Linked DNA regions of Oryctolagus cuniculus. The protein of the gene in region 1 purifies or fractionates together with the protein of each later gene. This does not show direct contact. Links are inferred from orthologs where the notes say so. Each region holds a gene or a part of one and is shown on either strand. Other genes may lie near its edges.

Evidence for each region.
Region 2: the proteins of FLCN (region 1) and FNIP2 purify together in Homo sapiens (affinity purification with western blotting; 5 studies listed by BioGRID and IntAct, with this or other methods). This does not show direct contact. The link is inferred for Oryctolagus cuniculus from reciprocal best matches to the Homo sapiens genes FLCN and FNIP2.

Annotation. Positions count from the first base shown.
Region 1 is NC_091448.1:66,241,970-66,250,615, reverse strand, and holds the start of FLCN (folliculin), read left to right. Parts: upstream 1-3,740; 5' UTR 3,741-3,876; exon of another isoform or gene 3,877-4,458; intron 4,459-6,100; 5' UTR 6,101-6,293; intron 6,294-7,347; 5' UTR 7,348-7,353; coding exon 7,354-7,602; intron 7,603-8,646. UniProt on the Homo sapiens protein: Multi-functional protein, involved in both the cellular response to amino acid availability and in the regulation of glycolysis.
Region 2 is NC_091439.1:138,589,732-138,598,594, reverse strand, and holds the start of FNIP2 (folliculin-interacting protein 2), read left to right. Parts: upstream 1-4,402; 5' UTR 4,403-4,617; coding exon 4,618-4,727; intron 4,728-8,863.

The DNA.
Region 1 (8,646 bases):
AGCTGCTTGAACACGGATGTGTCTTCTGTAGCACTCTCTCCCCTGTGTAGTTTCAAACAAGCATTCATTGTGAACAGGAACGGTTGCATCTTGGGAATATTTGAATTGAAAAGTTGTTACTGACGTCCTTTACGACGTGCGCTCTGTAACGGGAGTGGCGGCTGACCAGAGGCCCTGGAGCCTTCCGTGGGTCGCGTGCCTGCCAACGGGAGGACGGAACTCCCTGCCCTGCGGCCTGGCCTATTTCTGAGACCAGCGGCAGGCCCTCCCCGGCTCCGCCAGCGTCTGCGGCTGCGTGTGGATCCTGGGATCCGGGCCTGGGCTTCCGTGCTGTAGCCCAGGACGTGGTGGAGGCTGGGTAGCGGGCGGTCAGATTGGCCGGTCCTTCCCCAGAGGCTGTGTCCCGTGGTGCGAAAAACAAAATCGTTCTCGCTGTTTGTAAGCAAAGAAGCCGACACCTGCGGAGGACTGGGGGCGGCTGGGAAAGCCCCGGGCAGCTGTGGCCGGGTCCAGAGGGCGGGGTTGCACCCAGAGCCGGTGCGCGAGCCTCCCCTCCCCTCCCCTCTGAACTCTCAGAGCATCCGGCTCCCGAATCCCCGCTGCTCGCGTCCCTGGCACCTGCGCCCCCACGGGCCTGCGCCACGTCCCCTCCCGCCGAGACTCACGCCATTCCTTCCTCGTGGGGGAGGCCACCTCGCACTCAGTGTGCAGGATCGCTCCAGAGAGGCTTCCCGCAGCGAGGGCTGGGCCTCTGAATTCTCTCGCGCCGAGGCAAGAACTGGGATAAACCCAGCCAGGGACCCCCGGCCCCGACGACACAAGCGGCTTAAGTAGAGAGCCCTGCCTGTGGTCCAGCGTTTCTAGCGCTCGCCGGGGAGCCCCTCCTGTGCCAAGTTGGGTTCCGGTTCTCTCCCGTTAACTTGCTCTTCAGAGATGAGCGAGCGGGCTGGTTGGTTCTGAGTGTCAGGATACAGGATACCATGTGGCAGAGGATGTTAACTTGCCTGAGCCGTTGGCAAAGTGCCCAGAGGAAATGTGACCGGGTAATTCTGGCTTTGGGAACAGCTGTCTTTTTTTAGGCAGATGGATGACTCAGTGATGGTAAACAGACAAAATCCCACGGCCGGCGTGGCGCACTGCAGCACTGGCAACCCATATGGGCGCCGGTTCTAGTCCTGGCTGCTCCACTTCCGACCCAGCTCTCTGCTATGGCCTGGGAAAACAGTGGAAGATGGCCCAAGTCCTTGGGCCCCTGCACCCGTGTGGGAGACCCGGAGGAAGCTCCTGGCTCCTGGCTTTGGCCCAGCCAAGTCCTCAGCTGGTGATCATTGGCAGCCATTCTGGGGAGTGAACCAGGAGATGGAAGATCTCTGTCCTCTGTCCTTCTCTCTGTAATTCTGCCTTTTAAATAAATAAACCATAAAAAGAAATCCTTCTGCGACCTCTCTTAAAACTGAAACTTTTTTTTTTTTAAGGTTTATTTATTTGAAAGAGTTACACAGAGAAGGAGAGGCAGAGAGAGAGAGAGAAAGTCTATCTGCTGGTTCATTCCCCAATTGGCCGTAACAGCTACAGCTGCTCCAATTTGAAGCCAGGAGCCAGAAGCTTCTTCCGGGTCTCCCACCCGGGTACAGGGGCCCAAGCACTTGGGCCATCTTCTGCTTTCCCAGGCCACAGCAGAGAGCTGGATCAGAAGTGGAGCGACCAGGACTTGAACTGGTGCCCATATGGGATGCCAGCACTGCAGGTGATGGCTTTACCTGCTATGGCGCAGCACCGGCCCCAGCTGTTAAGTTCTTACAGATTCATGTAATTTGAGTAAGCATCTCTAAAGGGTAGGCAGCCATTGGGATACCGGCATCTGGCTCCTGACACAGCTGCTCCGCTTCCGAACCAGCTCCCTGCTAACGTGCCCGGGGAAGAAAAGCGGCAGAACTTGGCCCCAAATGCCTGGATCCCTGCCACCCATGGGGGAGACCTGGATGGAGTTCCAGGCTCCTGACTTCAGCCAGGCCCAGCCACGGCTCTCTGGGGAGTGAACCTGTAGATTCTCTCACTCTACCTTTGCCTTTCAAATACATGAACTAGATCGTGTGTGTGTTGGGGGGAAGATGGCAGCTAAAGCCTGGGGAGTTGGGAAAGATACTAATGGCCCAAATCAGGCTACTGTGACTGAATGGCTTCCCCTCATTGGAGCCTCATCAGCCGATGGCATGGAAATAGTGGAATCTGGACCGGGACTGAGAAAGGGAATTCCTGGAATTAAAGTTCCAAGATGGGGAAAAAATTGTCTTTAAGCTTAAAACGTCACCAATGAGTGTTCGTTTCAGTAACACCTTTTGGTAAGAGAAAAACCAGGAAAAAACATTCCCAGAGTTTGAGAGACCAAAAACCTGATGGAAACAAGACTGTGCAATTAGTGAATGTAGAGTAATTAAAAAGATTTGAGATTTATTCAAGTATCAAAGGCAGCGTTAGAACGAGGACAGACGGAATCTTCCCTCCGCTGGTTCACGACCCAAATAGCTTAGCGGCAACAGTTGGGGCTGGGTCAGGCACGAGCCAGGAGCTTCCTCCAGGGCTCCCACCTGGGCGCAGGGGCCCGGGCACCTGGGCCACCTGCTGCCGCCTTCCCGGGCATATTAGGGAGCCAGATCAGAAGTGGAGCAGCCGGTACCCCTATGGGACAGCCGCACTGCAGGCGGTGGCTTTACCCGCTAGACCCTAAAGAATGGAATTTTTAACCCTGAACTGTCACCTTTATTCCTTGGAACAGCAGAGAGAGACAGGGAGAGCTTCCATCCGCAGGTTCGCCATCTGGATGGTCGCAGCAGCTGGGGCTGGGCCAGGAGCCGCGCACCCTGCGTGGGTCTCCCACGTTGAGCAGGGACCCTCCCCGAGCGGAACCCGGGCAGCGCCCTAACCACGGCTCCAAACGCCCGCCCCTCCAGGGTCTCCTGCACTCTCCAAGCATCCAGCGAGCTCCTGCGTGGCTGACAGCCGAGGAAAAGCGGAATTCCTGGCACGGCTGCGCTTCGGCGGGCCCCGCTCTACCCTCGATTCGGCTCGCTAAGCGCAGCGGCGGGGCTGACCGGGATCAGGGGAACGTGGGTGGCGGCCGCCCCCGACCCCGGGACCTCCGCCCGGGCTCCGTCACCCCCTCAAGCCCGGAGGAGCACCGGAGGCGCCACGAGTTTTACAGACTACATTATGGAATAACTGATATTCGGTCAAAACAAACAATTTCCAAGTGTGGCTCCAACGGTTCCGCGCAGGGAACCGAGTCCCGCGCATGCGCACCGGCGCCCAGCCGCCCAAGCCGAGCACCGCCCCTGTTGCCTGACGGCCGCCGCACCTTCCACCCTCTTCGCGAGGATGGGGTTTATCAGCTATTTAGTGAAAACCGGCGGTGAAACTAAAAGGAGTTACAGCAGGTTTTTACGTTCTCGTCTTTATTTTTCTGTCTTTTGTGGGCAGAAAGTCTAGGATTGGCTCTATTTCCCCCTCAAATCTTTTTGTTTGGTTGGTTTTTACATTTTAAGCACCCCCACACGTTTGAAATGGTTTTGTCCAGCAGCGCTTGCGGGTACGGTTTAAACCATTCTGTACTTCTCTGAGAGGGGGAGCGGCGCAGCGGCGTGGAAGAGGAAGGTGTCGGGTTGGGAAATTCCCGCTGCCACTAGACTTCGGAGTTACGGGGGCGCGGGCCTTCGTTCCCAGACCCAAGGACCTGGTGGGGCCTCGCTCGCCTCGCGGTGCGGGGTGCGCTCGGGCAATCCGGGCGCCCCCGCGGCGGGCATGGGCGGATGGTACGGTCCGACCCAGTCACGCGCCTCTGGCTTGGCGCCGGGGCAGCCTGGACTGAGGGGACCGCGGGTGAGTGTGGCCGCCCGGGTCTGGGCGTCTCCCCCTCGGGGTCGGGCCCGCCGTGCAATGCGGCCGCGACCACCTGTCCCTTAGGGCCGGCTCCGGCCTCACCTTGACCTGTCCGGCGGGGACGGCGAGGGCCCGGCCGAGTGTGGGGCGGGCAGCGGTGGGCGAGTGGCTTGGGGCGTTGCGGAGAGCTGGCGATGTGGAGGGAGCGTGAGGCCACATCCTAGCTCCTCGCGGGAGGAGGAGGAGCCGGGGCCGTTGTTTGGTTCCGATTTGACGTTGCCCTGCCTCTCTCCCGGTGCCCGCTGCTCCAGCGCCGGCCCGGGTTTGCCCTGGAAGACCGCAGTTCTTCCTAGGGTTGGTGGACGTGGCCGAGAATGCTTGGTCCAGCGAGGTCAGCAGGGGGTGAGAAGCAGCGTGCCGTGGACACCCGGCGCCACCCCGGTGTCCAGCCAGGCTGGTGGGGGGGACCTTTGTCACTGCAGAGAAAGGCGGCAGCCGGTGGCACTGGCTTATCACTGTTGTCATCGCGTCCTTGAGTAACCCTGGCACGTGACCTTGTGTCTGCTGTCCGCGACAACCTAGGTGAGGGCAGCAGCAGTGGTGCCCGCGGGTTCCAGCCGGAAGGAAGCCCCGAGGGAGACCGGTTAGGGGCTGCTGCATGCTCACTGCGGGTCACCTGGCCCCTGCTGGATCTGCGGGGGCTCCTTCAACCCCCTGTGGGCCTCTGGGATCCTAGGGAGCTGGGGGGGGGGGGCGGTGGCAGGGGGGGAGAGTGTGGTGTGGCGGTCCCGGCCAGGCTGAGGAGTCGGGACACCTGCTTGTAGGGTGTAGAGCTCACTGGGCAGGGGAGGCTGGAGTGGAGCTAGAGGAAGGCAGTGGAAGAGAGCTTTATTTGAAAGTCGGAGTTACACAGAGAAGGAGAGAGAGACAGAGAGAGGTCTCCGCTGGTCATCCGCTGGTTCACTCCCCAAATGGCTGAAATGGCTGGAGCTGGGCTGATCCGAAGCCAGGAGCTTTTCTGGGTCTTCCACGTGGGTGCAGGGGCCCAAGCGCTTGGTTCATCTTCCACTGCTTTCCCAGGCCAGAGCAGAGAGCTGGATCGGAAGTGGAGCAGCCGGGACTCAAACCGGTGCTCTTTGAATTGGGTCTGGATTTTTTTTTTTTCCTGGGCCTGGAATACGTTGGGTGACAACGTCTCTGGTGCCCGCTCCGGCCTAGGCAGGCTGGAGCAGGTGTGCGTGGGGTGGGGCAGAGGGCTGCCTTGGTCTGGGTGTGTGGCTGGAAGGAGCCTTTTTTTTTTTTTCCTCCAAGGAAGGCGTGGCCCCCTTTCCAGGCTCTGGGGCAGGGCATCTGTGTCTGCTTTTGTTTTCCATCCTATTAGCCCTGCCTTGACCTCCTGGTTCCAGTTCTGGTTCTGGTCCCGGTCTGGTCCATGGTCACCTCCCATGTCTCCTCGTCCGCTGTGGGTCTCAAAGCCCTTGACGAATGTTCTTGACCTCACTGTCATGGAGCCCCTGGGTTCTTTCTTTAAACTCAGTCCATCGGCTCCTGTGCCACTGGACTGTCCCTGCGGTGGGCACCTCCATCTACTTCCTGTGCTGACGGCTGTCACCTCCCCGTGGGCAGCCCCTAAACCTGTTTATTTATCCGTCACGTGCTCTTTGGGTGCCCTGTGTGTCGGGAACCGCTGTAGACACCAGGGGACAACGTCTCTACCTGCTGGAAATTTTATTTTTATTTTTTAAGATTTGAAAGGCAGAGATATGGGGGGGAGAGAGAGAGAGATCAATCAATCTTCCATCCAATGGTTCGCTCCCCAAATGGCTGCAACAGCTGGGGCTGGGCCAGGCTGAAGCCAGGGGCCAGGAGCTTCTTCTGGGTCTCCCACGTGGGTGCAGGAGCCCAAGCACTTGGACCATTCCCAGGAGCGTTAGCAGGGAGCTGCATTGGAAGTGGAGCAGCCTGGACTCGAAGTGGCACCGATACGGGATGCTGGCACTGCCGGCAGACGCTTAACCTCTGTGCCACAGCGCCGGCCCCAGGAAATCTGGTCTTTGTAAAGGGGAAGTACACACAACCTGTTAGGAGACAGAAATGAGGCAGGGCGGGGGCAGGGCAGCTGTCCCGGGTGGGCTGGCTGGGGAGGCCTCGGACCGGGTACAGGGCAGGGGCAGGGCCGCGGGTGCCTGGGACCTTCTCCCCAGCCCTGCCCTCTCATCTGCAGTCGGTGTGGCCACGGCCTGCTCCAGGCGTCCCGGCTGAGCCTCGGGCCGTCTGCACTTGCGTCACCTGCCTCTGGGAACACCTCGGGCCAGGGGCCGGAGCCTCCGCTCTCCACGCTCACTCCCGCCCGCTTCTCTTCCGTTTTGCCTCTGCCATTGCCAGCCCCTGCTGCGTCCGGGTCCGCGGACGGCCAGGTGGGTTGCCATTGGTGGGCAGGCACGGGTGTGGGCTCTGTTTCTCTGACCTTGACCTCTGCTAGGGCACCAGTGACCTCCCTGTTACTTTGCAGGGGATCCCTGCCCACTGTTTTTTTTTTTTTTTTTCTGTCCAAATTGTGCTAAAATGCACATAAAGTGGACTATTGTCAGCACGCAGCTGTGTGTTGCTGAGTGATGGAACCGCCAGCACAGGCTGGCTCCAGTGCTGTCCACATGCCGGGCTTAAACATGAACTGCCCAACCCCCTGGCACCATTGCCCCTTCCGTCCCTGTGGATCCCACCACTCGGAGCCCGAGCCCCACCCCCACCCCCAACTTGGATGTGTGAATTTCAAAGTTCTTTTTGCACCAAAGGAAACTTTATCCTTCCCTTCCAGAGGTAAAGTCCCCCGTACAGTCTCGTGTCAATTGGGCATTGCTTGTCCTTTTGTGACGGGCTCCTGTCACCGGGCTTGCCATGCTGTGAGCCAGCCTGCACGGCCTCTTCCGCTGTCGTCCAGGTCTCCTGTGTCATGTTGGAGCCTCACTCTCCGAGGCCCCAGGGGTCTGCATCCTGGGGCTTCAAGACCCCTCCTCTGGGGGCCTCTGCCAGCCCCACTGGCCCCTCGGAGCACTGGACTGGGCAGGTTCCCGTGCCCCTCCCCGGGGAGGGCTGCTTCCTCGTCCAGACTGGGAGGCGCTCAGCAGGTGCGTGCTGGGCAGGGGTCCACTTGAAGTCCACTTTATGGACCTCTCAGTCGCCCTGGAGTTTGCGGGTCCCTGCAAGGGTAGCTGTCCTTCTCCTGTGCTGTCTGCCCCGGGGCCCTGTCTCAGTTCTGCCCGGAGGGCCTTTGGTGCGGCCATTCACCCCCACGCCCCCTCTCGTGGCTGCCTCTGGGCCCGATGGGATCTGGCTTCCGTTGTCTGTGCTGCCCCTGACGTGGCGCTGGGTGCAAAGCGGGTGCTGCCCCAGTGGTGAAGCGGGAAGTCCTAGAGGCGCCGGGGAGGTTCCGTGGGGTGCCTTCTGCTCACGGTGTCCCCTGCTCCCCAGGGCACCATGAACGCCATTGTCGCCCTGTGTCACTTCTGCGAGCTGCACGGCCCCCGCACACTCTTCTGCACGGAGGTGCTGCACGCCCCGCTTCCCCAGGGCGCCGGGAGCGGGGACAGCCCCGGCCAGGGCGAGCAGGCCGAGGAGGAGGAAGGCGGCATCCAGATGAGCGGCCGCGGCCGCGCCCACAGCCCCGCGGAGGGGGCCGGCGCCGAGCCGGGCAGCGCGGGGCCCAGGAAGTCGGACATGTGTGAGGCAAGTGCGCTCCGTTCAGGGTCTCGGGGAGGCGCGGTCCCCCAGCAGGCCTCCTCTCAAGTGGCACCCCGAAGGCATGTGCGTCTCTGTGCCCCCAAGTGCTGCCGTAGCTTTCCTAGCCGGCTCTGTGCTGAGTGTCGGCACCCACACGGCCCAGCCACAGCCCTGCGTCCCCTGGCGCACGTGCTCACCATGCCCCGGCTGTGAGCCTGGGGGAGTGGGCCTCAGCACCCCGGCAGATCAAGGCTCTGCTGGAGGCCCTGAGGTGGGCGCTGGGCGCTGGACGTGGGCATTGGACCTGGCCCTGCTTTAGGAACAGGCTGAGTTCTGTTGGTTTTTCTGAGAGGCAGGCGCTGTATCAGAGCCTCATCTATTGCTGCTAATGCCCATGAGGGGTCCTGGGGAGAGGGGAGCCCTCAGACACTGGCAGTGGGGGCCCTAGGGGGCTCAGCCAGCTTCCGGAGAGGCCTGGAGCCAGGGTTGGGGTTCACCTTGGAGGAGGCCTGCACCTCTTGGGCAGGGCCTTGCCTCGGGGCCCTGCTGTGCACGGCCCTGGGGGCCTGGATGCCTCAGGCTGCTGGTGGCCTCCGCGGGCTGCACGGTCCACTCCTGCAGCAGGCAGTGTGGCAGGCTGTTCCCAAGCCTCTGCCTCCAACCCTGTCCGTGCGGGGCCCCTGCCTGTGGCTGGGCCGAGTGTGTTCAGGACCAAGGACAGAAGCTCAGTGGCTGTGGACAGGGCTCCCGAGAGCAGCACAGCCCCGTGCCCTCAGGCCAGCCACAGTCCACCCCAGCCTCAGCTTTGTCTTCTGTGGAATGGGGTTTCTCACAGGGTTGCAGCTTAGATAGAGCGACGGACCTGTTCACAGAACCTGCCGCTCACATAAATAAATGCCTGTTCCCACCGACCTCTGACCACCTTGGGGACCTCTTGGTCCTGCTTTTCCTGTCCTGGAAACCTTTAACTCCTCAGATGAGTGCTAATCTAGGAGCCACTTATTCCTATGCAAAAATAGAGTTTTCTTTCGGGTTTATTTATCTGAGAGG
Region 2 (8,863 bases), on another chromosome or scaffold:
GGTTTGTTATGTTTAATTTAAAATTTATATTCAAAATTCCTTTTAAACAGTTATTTATTTGAAAGGCAGAGTTACAGAGAGAGAGGGAGAGGCGGAGTGAGGAAGCGCTCTTCCATCTGGTGGCTCACTCCCTAAATGGCTACAGCTGCCAAGGCCAGGTCAGGCCAAGCCAGGAAGCTACAAGTCCACCTGGGTCTCTTACATGGGTATCAGGGGCCAAAGCCCTCACATCGTCTTCTGCTGCTTTCCCAGGGGCACTAGCAGGGAGCTGGGATAGAAGTGGAGCAGCCAGGACTCAGACCAGAAGTCATATGAGATGCCAGTGTCACAGGTGGTAGCTTAACCTGCTGTGCCACAACGCCGCTCCCCCTCGAGTCATTCCTCATTCTTCTTTTATTTTTCTTCTGTAAAGGATTTGCAAAATGACTTAAAATATGAGAAAACGGAAGAGAAGCATTGGCAAAGACTGTTTTCTGTGGTATATACTGTGAGTTAAATACATAGCAGTTTATTTGCCTTATGTAATAAGAGAAAAGAACAGGACACATGAATCTCTTATAGACAGCTTTAGGCTTCAGATAACAGGGTTATTATCTTACCTATTGGGGAATGGCAGCTCTGGGTGGATGGACTAGGGGGGACCCAGCTTGCTTCCACCTCCCTGCTAGGCCATCTCCAGTCTTGGTTTCACTCTCAGCCTTGTACCAAGATAGTTGTAGCACTCTATCTAGACATACAACATGCCAAGGAAGGAAAAAAGAGACTCTATTAAGTGAGAAAACCTTTTCCAGAATTATTCCTTCTCCCACAACTCCCTTTCTTCCAGCCTGCTCTGTGAGGAAGAAGGGGGTAACTGGTATCGTAGACCACACGACACAATAGCCCAACTGTAGAGGCAAAAATTAAAACATTTTACAGAACACATTTTTTATTTTAATATTTATTTATTTGAAAGGCAGAGTTAGAGAGAGGGGAAGGGGGGAGAGAAAGAGAGAGGGAGAGAGAGAGGTATTCCATTCACTGGTTCACTCGGCAAAAGGCTGCAATGTCCGGAGCTGGGCCAGTCTGAAGTTAGGAGCCAGGAACTTCTTCTGGGTCTCCTACATGCATGCAGGGGCCCAAGCACGTGGGCCATCCTCCGCTGCTTTCCCAGGCACATTAGCAGGGAACTGGATTGAAGTAGAGCAGCAGGGACTCGAACTGGTGTCCATGTGGGATGATGGCTCTGCAGGCTGCAGCTTTACCCACTACACTACAGTGCCGGCCCAGAACAAATACTAATTAAGAGACAAGAACTGTCACCAGAAGTCAGAATGGACTGGCATAAATAAGTTAGCCCTCTTCTAACTCCTCTTTTCCCTCCTTAGGGAAACAACTCAGAATATTGTTTAATTCCTCTTCTCTGGGCAGCTGCACACAGGAGCAGCCGGCTGGTATATGTTCTAAGACGGAGTGATGAGGTGAACGAATTAAAGCAGTGCTGGAGACAGGGACCTTGACCAGTGGATGACAGGCAGAAGACTGGGCTCCTGTAGATGCCTGGAATAGCCAAGAAAAGAAACCGTAAGACTTGGGGGAAGTGTTCGGAGCAGCTTCCCAGAATTCTGTTGGCTAGGATTTCTGTGCACTTGAAAAATCCAAAGCAGGATGTATGGCCAAAACCAGGCTGAGGACGAAAACGATGCTGAGAGGGAGCACAGGAAGAAAGAGGAGAGAGGGGAACCACTGTGGTTCCTTGTTTCTCCCCCGGCTTATGCAGTAATCTAATAGTTTTAAAGGCACAGTCTCTCTTTAGAGTTGCTCAGTCTAGACCAACACTGAAGATGATGGCTGGGCTCTTTTGTACAAAATTATCTGAGAGGCAGAGAGAGATGGGGGGAGAAGGGAGTGAGAGAGAGAGAGTCCCCAAGTTCCTGCAATAGCCTGACTGGTCCAGGCCAAAGCTGGGTTCGGAACCCAATCCAGGCCTCTCCTGTGGGTCGCAGGGACCCAACTACTTCAGCTGTCACCTGCTGCCTTGCAGTCTGCATCAGTAGGACGCTGGCATTGGCAGCCAGGCCTTGAACCTAGATCTTGTGATATGACGTTATAGTCACGTGTCCAAACAGCCACACCGAACTAGAATTTTTCGAATTCCCTCTTTTGGGTGATCTCGTACACTTGAACTGGGCTCGGCATGAAAGTCTTTGTAGGTGAGGAAGAAGAGACACCATGTTGATTCCTTTCAATAAGTAGTTAGAAAATCTGCTAGGCTCATAGACTGAATAAGGGACATTTTCTGACCAAGGATGGGGTAGGAAAGGTGATGTGTTGCCAGCCATCACAGACCTGGAGCCATGTCTTAATGAGCCACAACAGGTGAGGCCAATACCTAATATATAAGCTACTTAGGAATATTGGTAGCCCTATGCAATAAAGATTCTCAGGAATAGGCCGGCGCCGCGGCTCACTAGGCTAATCCTCCGCCTAGCGGTGCCGGCACACCGGGTTCTAGTCCCGGTCGGGGCACCAGATTCTGTCCCTGTTGCCCCTCTTCCAGGCCAGCTCTCTGCTGTGGCCCGGGAAGGCAGTGGAGGATGGCCCAGGTGCTTGGGCCCTGCACCCCATGGGAGACCAGGAAAAGCACCTGGCTCCTGGCTCCCGCCATCGGATCAGCGCGGTGCGCTGGCTGCAGCGTGCCGGCCGCGGCGGCCTTTGGAGGGTGAACCAACGGCAAAGGAAGACCTTTCTCTCTGTCTCTCTCTCTCACTGTCCACTCTGCCTGTCAAAAAAAAAAAAAAAAAAAAAAAAAAAAAATTCTCAGGAAACAGAGAAAGCAGAGTTGCAAATCAAGATCTGTGTCCTCTAAACTGTGCAAAGGGGTAACTGCTCACCAGCATGAACACCTAACCCACCAATCTAACAGTAAAAAACTAGAAGAAAAAAATGCCTGCATTTCAGTTTCTGCTGTCTTTCCCCAACCTTTGTGAAGTTTCATTGCTTACAGCTTGATCTCCAACCAAGACCTGAAAACCACACAATAACAAATGACAGGGGCAGGTGTGCGGTGAGGACGCCCGCACCCCTCATCAGAGTGCCCGGCTCTGAGTCCTGGCTCTGCTCCGCGGTGCAGCTTCATGCTAACCAAACCCCGAGAGGCACCAAGTCCCTGCCCCTGTGGGCCAGATCCCCATCCAGCTCCAGCTCCTGCCTTCCGCCCGGCCCAGCCCCTGCAGGTATTTGGGGCAGTGAACGGTGGATGGGAGACCTTTGTCCGTCCCTCCACTTCTCAAATAAAATACATAAATCACTTAGACAACTTAAAAAATGATAAGGGAAATTAAGTCCAAAGTAGGTATTCCTGAGAACTTTGTGGAGACACACTGGCCTTCCGGAGTGCCGGAGAGTTATTTCGAAGAAACCTAGGCGCACAGGTGAGTCACCCTTCACCGCCCAGAGAGGAGCGGCCGGCTGACGTCTTACCAGCACAGCTGTTACCCACTAAGCCCAGCGCCATAAAACACAGATTAAGACTTCAGTCCTACAGCGCATTTTAGAGTCTCCTCACACGAAGGCTTAACCCACGTACAAAAACTCCACCTTCCCCAAGCCAAGTAATACCTGCTGTGGATAAAGGTAAAACATCCGTGTGCGTGGTCACGGAATAGGGTTAGGAAAGCGCCCTCTGGTCACAGGCCGGTTGTAAGTTTCTAAGTGTGTATGTAGTGAGTGCTAGCTTTTATTTTTTTTTTTAAGGGCTCAACCTTTCACACGCAACTTTTTCTGTAAACGTGGTTATACAAGAATATGGTGGCCCAAGATGCCAAACAGAACTAAGAATTTAAACAAAACAAAACAAACCAAACCAACAGTTTAAAAAAAAAAAAAAAAAAAAGCCTGAAGAAACCCAACCTGGCTATGCAAGAAACGTGCCAACGACTCGGGCGCTGCGCGCTTCCCCTCACAGCCCTGGGAAAACGCACCCCCGCGCGAGACGCCCTCCCCGCCTGCCCACGCCTGCCCACGCCTGGCACTAACGAGCTTCTGCGCCCGCACAAAGCCAGGATCAAGTTCGGGGGCTTTGCTTTGTCTCGCACGAACAAAGATCGGCCGGCGGCTTTCTCGCAGGAGCCGAGGCGCGCCCCGCGCCCCGCGCCCCGCGCCCCGCGCCCCGCGCCCCGCGCCCCGCGCCCCGCGCCCCGCGCCCCGCGCCCCGCGCCCCGCGCCCCGCGCCCCGCGCCCACCGGGCCCTTTAAGCGCCGCGCCCGCGCCCGCCCCGCCGCCCGCGCGCCCCAGCCGGCTGCGCCTCCCGCCGGGTTACGTGCGCCCGGGGGCGGGCGCGGGCGCGGGCCAATGGCCGCCGCCGGGGCAGCGCGCTCCTCCCGCGCCGCCGTGTGGCTGCGGGCTCCTCCCGCAGGAGATAACTGTCAGCGCGCGAGGCGGCGGCGGCGGCGGCGGCGGCGGGGGCCGGCTCCGTCACAGGACCGGCGCGCAGCAGAGTTCCTCAGCCCGGCGCCCCGCGCTCCCGCCAGGCTCGCCGCCCCCGCGATGACCCCGCCGCCGCCGCCGCCGCCGCCCCGGGCTGCGCGCTGAGCCGCCGCCGCCCGCCGAGCGCGGGGCCGGAGCCGCCGCCGCATCATGGCCCCGACCCTGCTCCAGAAGCTCTTCAACAAAAGGGGCAGCGGCGGCAGCGGCTCCGCGGCGGCGTGCGCCCAGGGCCGGGCGCCCAAGGAAGGACCCGCCTTCAGGTGAGGGGCGCGGGCCCGGCGCGGGCTTCGGGGCTGGCGGGGGGCCGCCGTGGACGCGCGTGGCCCCGGGGCGGCCCCCTCCGCCTCTGCACAACTCCGGGTGCCCCGGGTTTCGGGGAGTTCCCGTGGGCTCCTTGCGTGCCGGGGCGTGCGCTGCGCTTGGCCGCGCGTGGGCCGAGGCGCCCGGGCCCTGCGGCGCGGCGAGCTGTCATCGCCGAGGGCGGCCGCGGCCCATTGTGTGCGTGTTGGGAAGTTGTGCCGGAGCAGCCGCGGCGAAGGGAGGCCCCCGGCCCCCTCCGGTCCCTGCTGGCGCTGCCTGACGGATGAATGGAAGTGTGCGGTTTCCGCGTCGTTCCGAGGGCGCGCGCCGCGCCATGTGTGCGAGGGGCCGTCTGGGGTCTCGGGAGAGCGGAGTCGATCCGGCGTTCCCGGCGCGCACCTGTGGCTAAGAACAGCCGGCACGCGTGCAGCCTGGGCCGCTGGGAGTGCGTGGCGTCGGGGTCTCTCCCTGGAGTTCCATTTCGCAGGTGAGAAAGCGGAGGCGCCGAGAACCGCAGCTGTCCGCGGACCAGGACCCAGTCTGCCCCCAGGACCCGGTCTGCCCCCCAGGACCCGGTCTGCCCCCCAGGACGCGGTGTGCCCCCCAGGACGCGGTGTGCCCCCCAGGACCCGGTCTGTCCCCGGGACCCGGTCTGCCCCCCGGGACCCAGTCTGCCCCCAGGACCCGGTCTGTCCCCCGGGACCCAGTCTGCCCCCCAGGACCCAGTCTGCCCCCAGGACCCAGTCTGCCCCCCAGGACCCAGTCTGCCCCCAGGACCCGGTCTGCCCCCAGGACCCGGTCTGTCCCCCGGGACCCAGTCTGCCCCCAGGACCCAGTCTGCCCCCCAGGACCCAGTCTGCCCCCAGGACCCGGTCTGCCCCCCAGGACCCGGTCTGCCCCCCAGGACCCGGTCTGTCCCCAGGACCCAGTCTGCCCCCCGGGACCCAGTCTGCCCCCAGGACCCAGTCTGCCCCCAGGACCCGGTCTGCCCCCAGGATCCAGTCTTGAGTATCCCCGGTCTGCCCCCAGGACCCGGTCTGCCCCCCAGGACCCAGTCTGCCCCCCAGGACCCAGTCTGCCCCCAGGACCCGGTCTGCCCCCAGGACCCGGTCTGCCCCCCAGGACCCGGTCTGCCCCCCAGGACCCGGTCTGCCCCCCAGGACCCGGTCTGTCCCCAGGACCCAGTCTGCCCCCCGGGACCCAGTCTGCCCCCCGGGACCCAGTCTGCCCCCCAGGACCCAGTCTGCCCCCCAGGACCCGGTCTGCCCCCCAGGACCCGGTCTGCCCCCCAGGACCCGGTCTGTCCCCAGGACCCAGTCTGCCCCCCGGGACCCAGTCTGCCCCCCGGGACCCAGTCTGCCCCCAGGACCCAGTCTGCCCCCCAGGACCCAGTCTGCCCCCAGGACCCGGTCTGCCCCCCAGGACCCGGTCTGCCCCCCAGGACCCGGTCTGTCCCCGGGACCCAGTCTGCCCCCCGGGACCCAGTCTGCCCCCCAGGACCCAGTCTGCCCCCCAGGACCCGGTGTGCCCCCCAGGACCCGGTGTGCCCCCCAGGACCCGGTCTGCCCCCAGGACCCGGTCTGCCCCCAGGACCCAGTCTTGAGTATCCCCGGTCTGCCCCCAGGACCCAGTCTGCCCCCAGGACCCGGTCTGTCCCCAGGACCCAGTCTGCCCCCCAGGACCCGGTCTGCCCCCAGGACCCGGTCTGTCCCCCGGGACCCAGTCTTCCCCCCAGGACCCAGTCTGCCCCCCAGGACCCAGTCTGCCCCCAGGACCCGGTCTGCCCCCCAGGACCCAGTCTTGAGTATCCCCGGTCTGCCCCCAGGACCCAGTCTTGAGTATCCCCGGTCTGCCCCCCGGGACCCAGTCTGCCCCCCGGGACCCAGTCTGCCCCCCAGGACCCGGTCTGCCCCCAGGACCCAGTCTGCCCCCAGGACCCGGTCTGCCCCCCGGGACCCAGTCTTCCCCCCAGGACCCAGTCTTGAGTATCCCCGGTCTGCCCCCAGGACCCAGTCTGCCCCCGGGACCCAGTCTGCCCCCCGGGACCCAGTCTGCCCCCCGGGACCCGGTCTGCCCCCCAGGACCCGGTCTGCCCCCCAGGACCCAGTCTTGAGTATCCCCGGTCTGCCCCCAGGACCCAGTCTGCCCCCCAGGACCCAGTCTGCCCCCAGGACCCAGTCTTGAGTATCCCGGGGCTGCCCTGCTTTGAAGGGCCAAGTTCTGGAAGGCGCCTTGCAAGGTGCAGTTCTTCAGCGCTCTCACACGCTCTTTGGCCAAAACGCCCCGCAGAAGCGGGTTATTGTTACTCCTGTGTAATACACCTCTAAAAAGTTTCAAGCGCAACTTGGAAACACATTTTGCAGCAAGTTCTGTGTTGTCTGTTCTGCTTGTTCTCGAATTCCACTGGTGGAAAACAGCCCCCTCTCTCATTCTGTAAGAAAGGACGGGCGTGGGTGTGTGTCTGGGGTGTGGGGTTTGAAAAGTAGGCCGTGAGGACTTCCACCTACCACGGCTGCATTCTCACGTTTCCTCTGGGCTAACCCAGTGCTTCCCGTGTGAGGGGAACTCTACGCCTCTGCTGGCTGAGCCTTCTCAGTGGTAGAATTACTTGAGACCCAGGGCGGGTCATGTCTTCCCTGCCTTGACGCAGCCCTGAGAGCCGGGGTGCAGCACCTGGAGGAAGCGGCATGGGTGTCACGGTGTCCTCACTCCGCAGCCCTTGCTGGGAGAGACGCTGGAGTTGTACTGTCACTGTTTCCTGTGTCCCCTGCCTGGCTGCCCACCACCATTTCCTCATCCGCAAGCTTAATTGGGTGTATTTGGATGAAAAAAAAAAAATAAATAAAAAAGGAGGGGGGGGCTATATTTAGGGCCTGGCCATATTTGGGAACTTGATTCCCACTTTGTGGGAACATGTTCTGTGTAGTGTTCTGACCTCTCATTGGTGTAGAATGGAGAACAGAAAATTGTGCCAAGTGCTGTTTTTGTTTTTTTTTCTTTCTTGACCTCATTAGGATTTTCGGCAAGTTTTTGAATAGGTTTTTTTTCTTTTCTTCTTTTTTTTTTTTTTTTTAAAGATAATCTGGGAGTCTTAGCGGGGTGTCCCATTTGGGGAGAACCCCCTTCCGTAGTGTCCCAAAGGCATCACCATGGAAACAGGGGTGAAGTGGGAGATGTTAGCAAAGATGCAGGAGGCTGGGGACAAGTCAACCAGTGCTTACCAGGCCAACACAGAGCACCAAACTAGTGTTTCCTCTGCCTTTCTTTCACCTGGCCTCGCTCTTGCATACTCTGCAGCCCTCCTGGGAAAAGTCCTGGAAACTTGATCATGCTTCACCTAAAAATATCACAACCTGGTATTTCATTTTATCCAGGTTTCGCCAAATTAGAGCTGTTACGTGCCTTTTGGGGGGAAGGGGTGTCTCATACAGGAAGCTTGCTTTGCAGGGAAGTCGATTTCTAGAAGTTTTAAGGTAAAACCCAGATAGCCCCAATGTGAATTTATATTCGTTAGTATATTTAAATACAGGATGTGACTTGTAGATTTGGAAAACGAAGGATCCCGTGAGCATTCAGGTAGATGTTTTTGGCAGTTATTTAGCATATACCAGGAAAAACCTCAAAAAGTAAGATTAACTTTTAAGAAAAATTTCAGTATTTGAAAGGCAGAATGACAGGAAGAGAGAATATATCTTCCGTCTGCTGGTTTACTCTCCAGATGCCCTCATCATCGAGAACTCCATCTGGGACTTCCACATGGGTGGTAGGAACCCCAGCCCCTGGCCAGCACCTGCTGCCTGCCAGGGGCATTAGCAGAAAGCTGGATGAGAAGAGAAGTAGCCAGGACCAACAAGGGTCCTCTGACGTGGCGTTCAGCTGTCTCAAGTGCTGGGTTGACCCCTGTGCCACAACAGCTGGCCCAAGATCTGACTTGTTAGATTTTAGGGATTGCCGAATCCTTTGATATTTGTGTTTCCATGATGGGCTTTCATTTGTTGTTTTAAACTTTTCTCTTCTCAGAATTGTCTTGCCCTTGACATTATTCGTGTATACTTCCTAGTCTCTTCTCCAGGTTCTCGCTGTTCCCACACCCCCC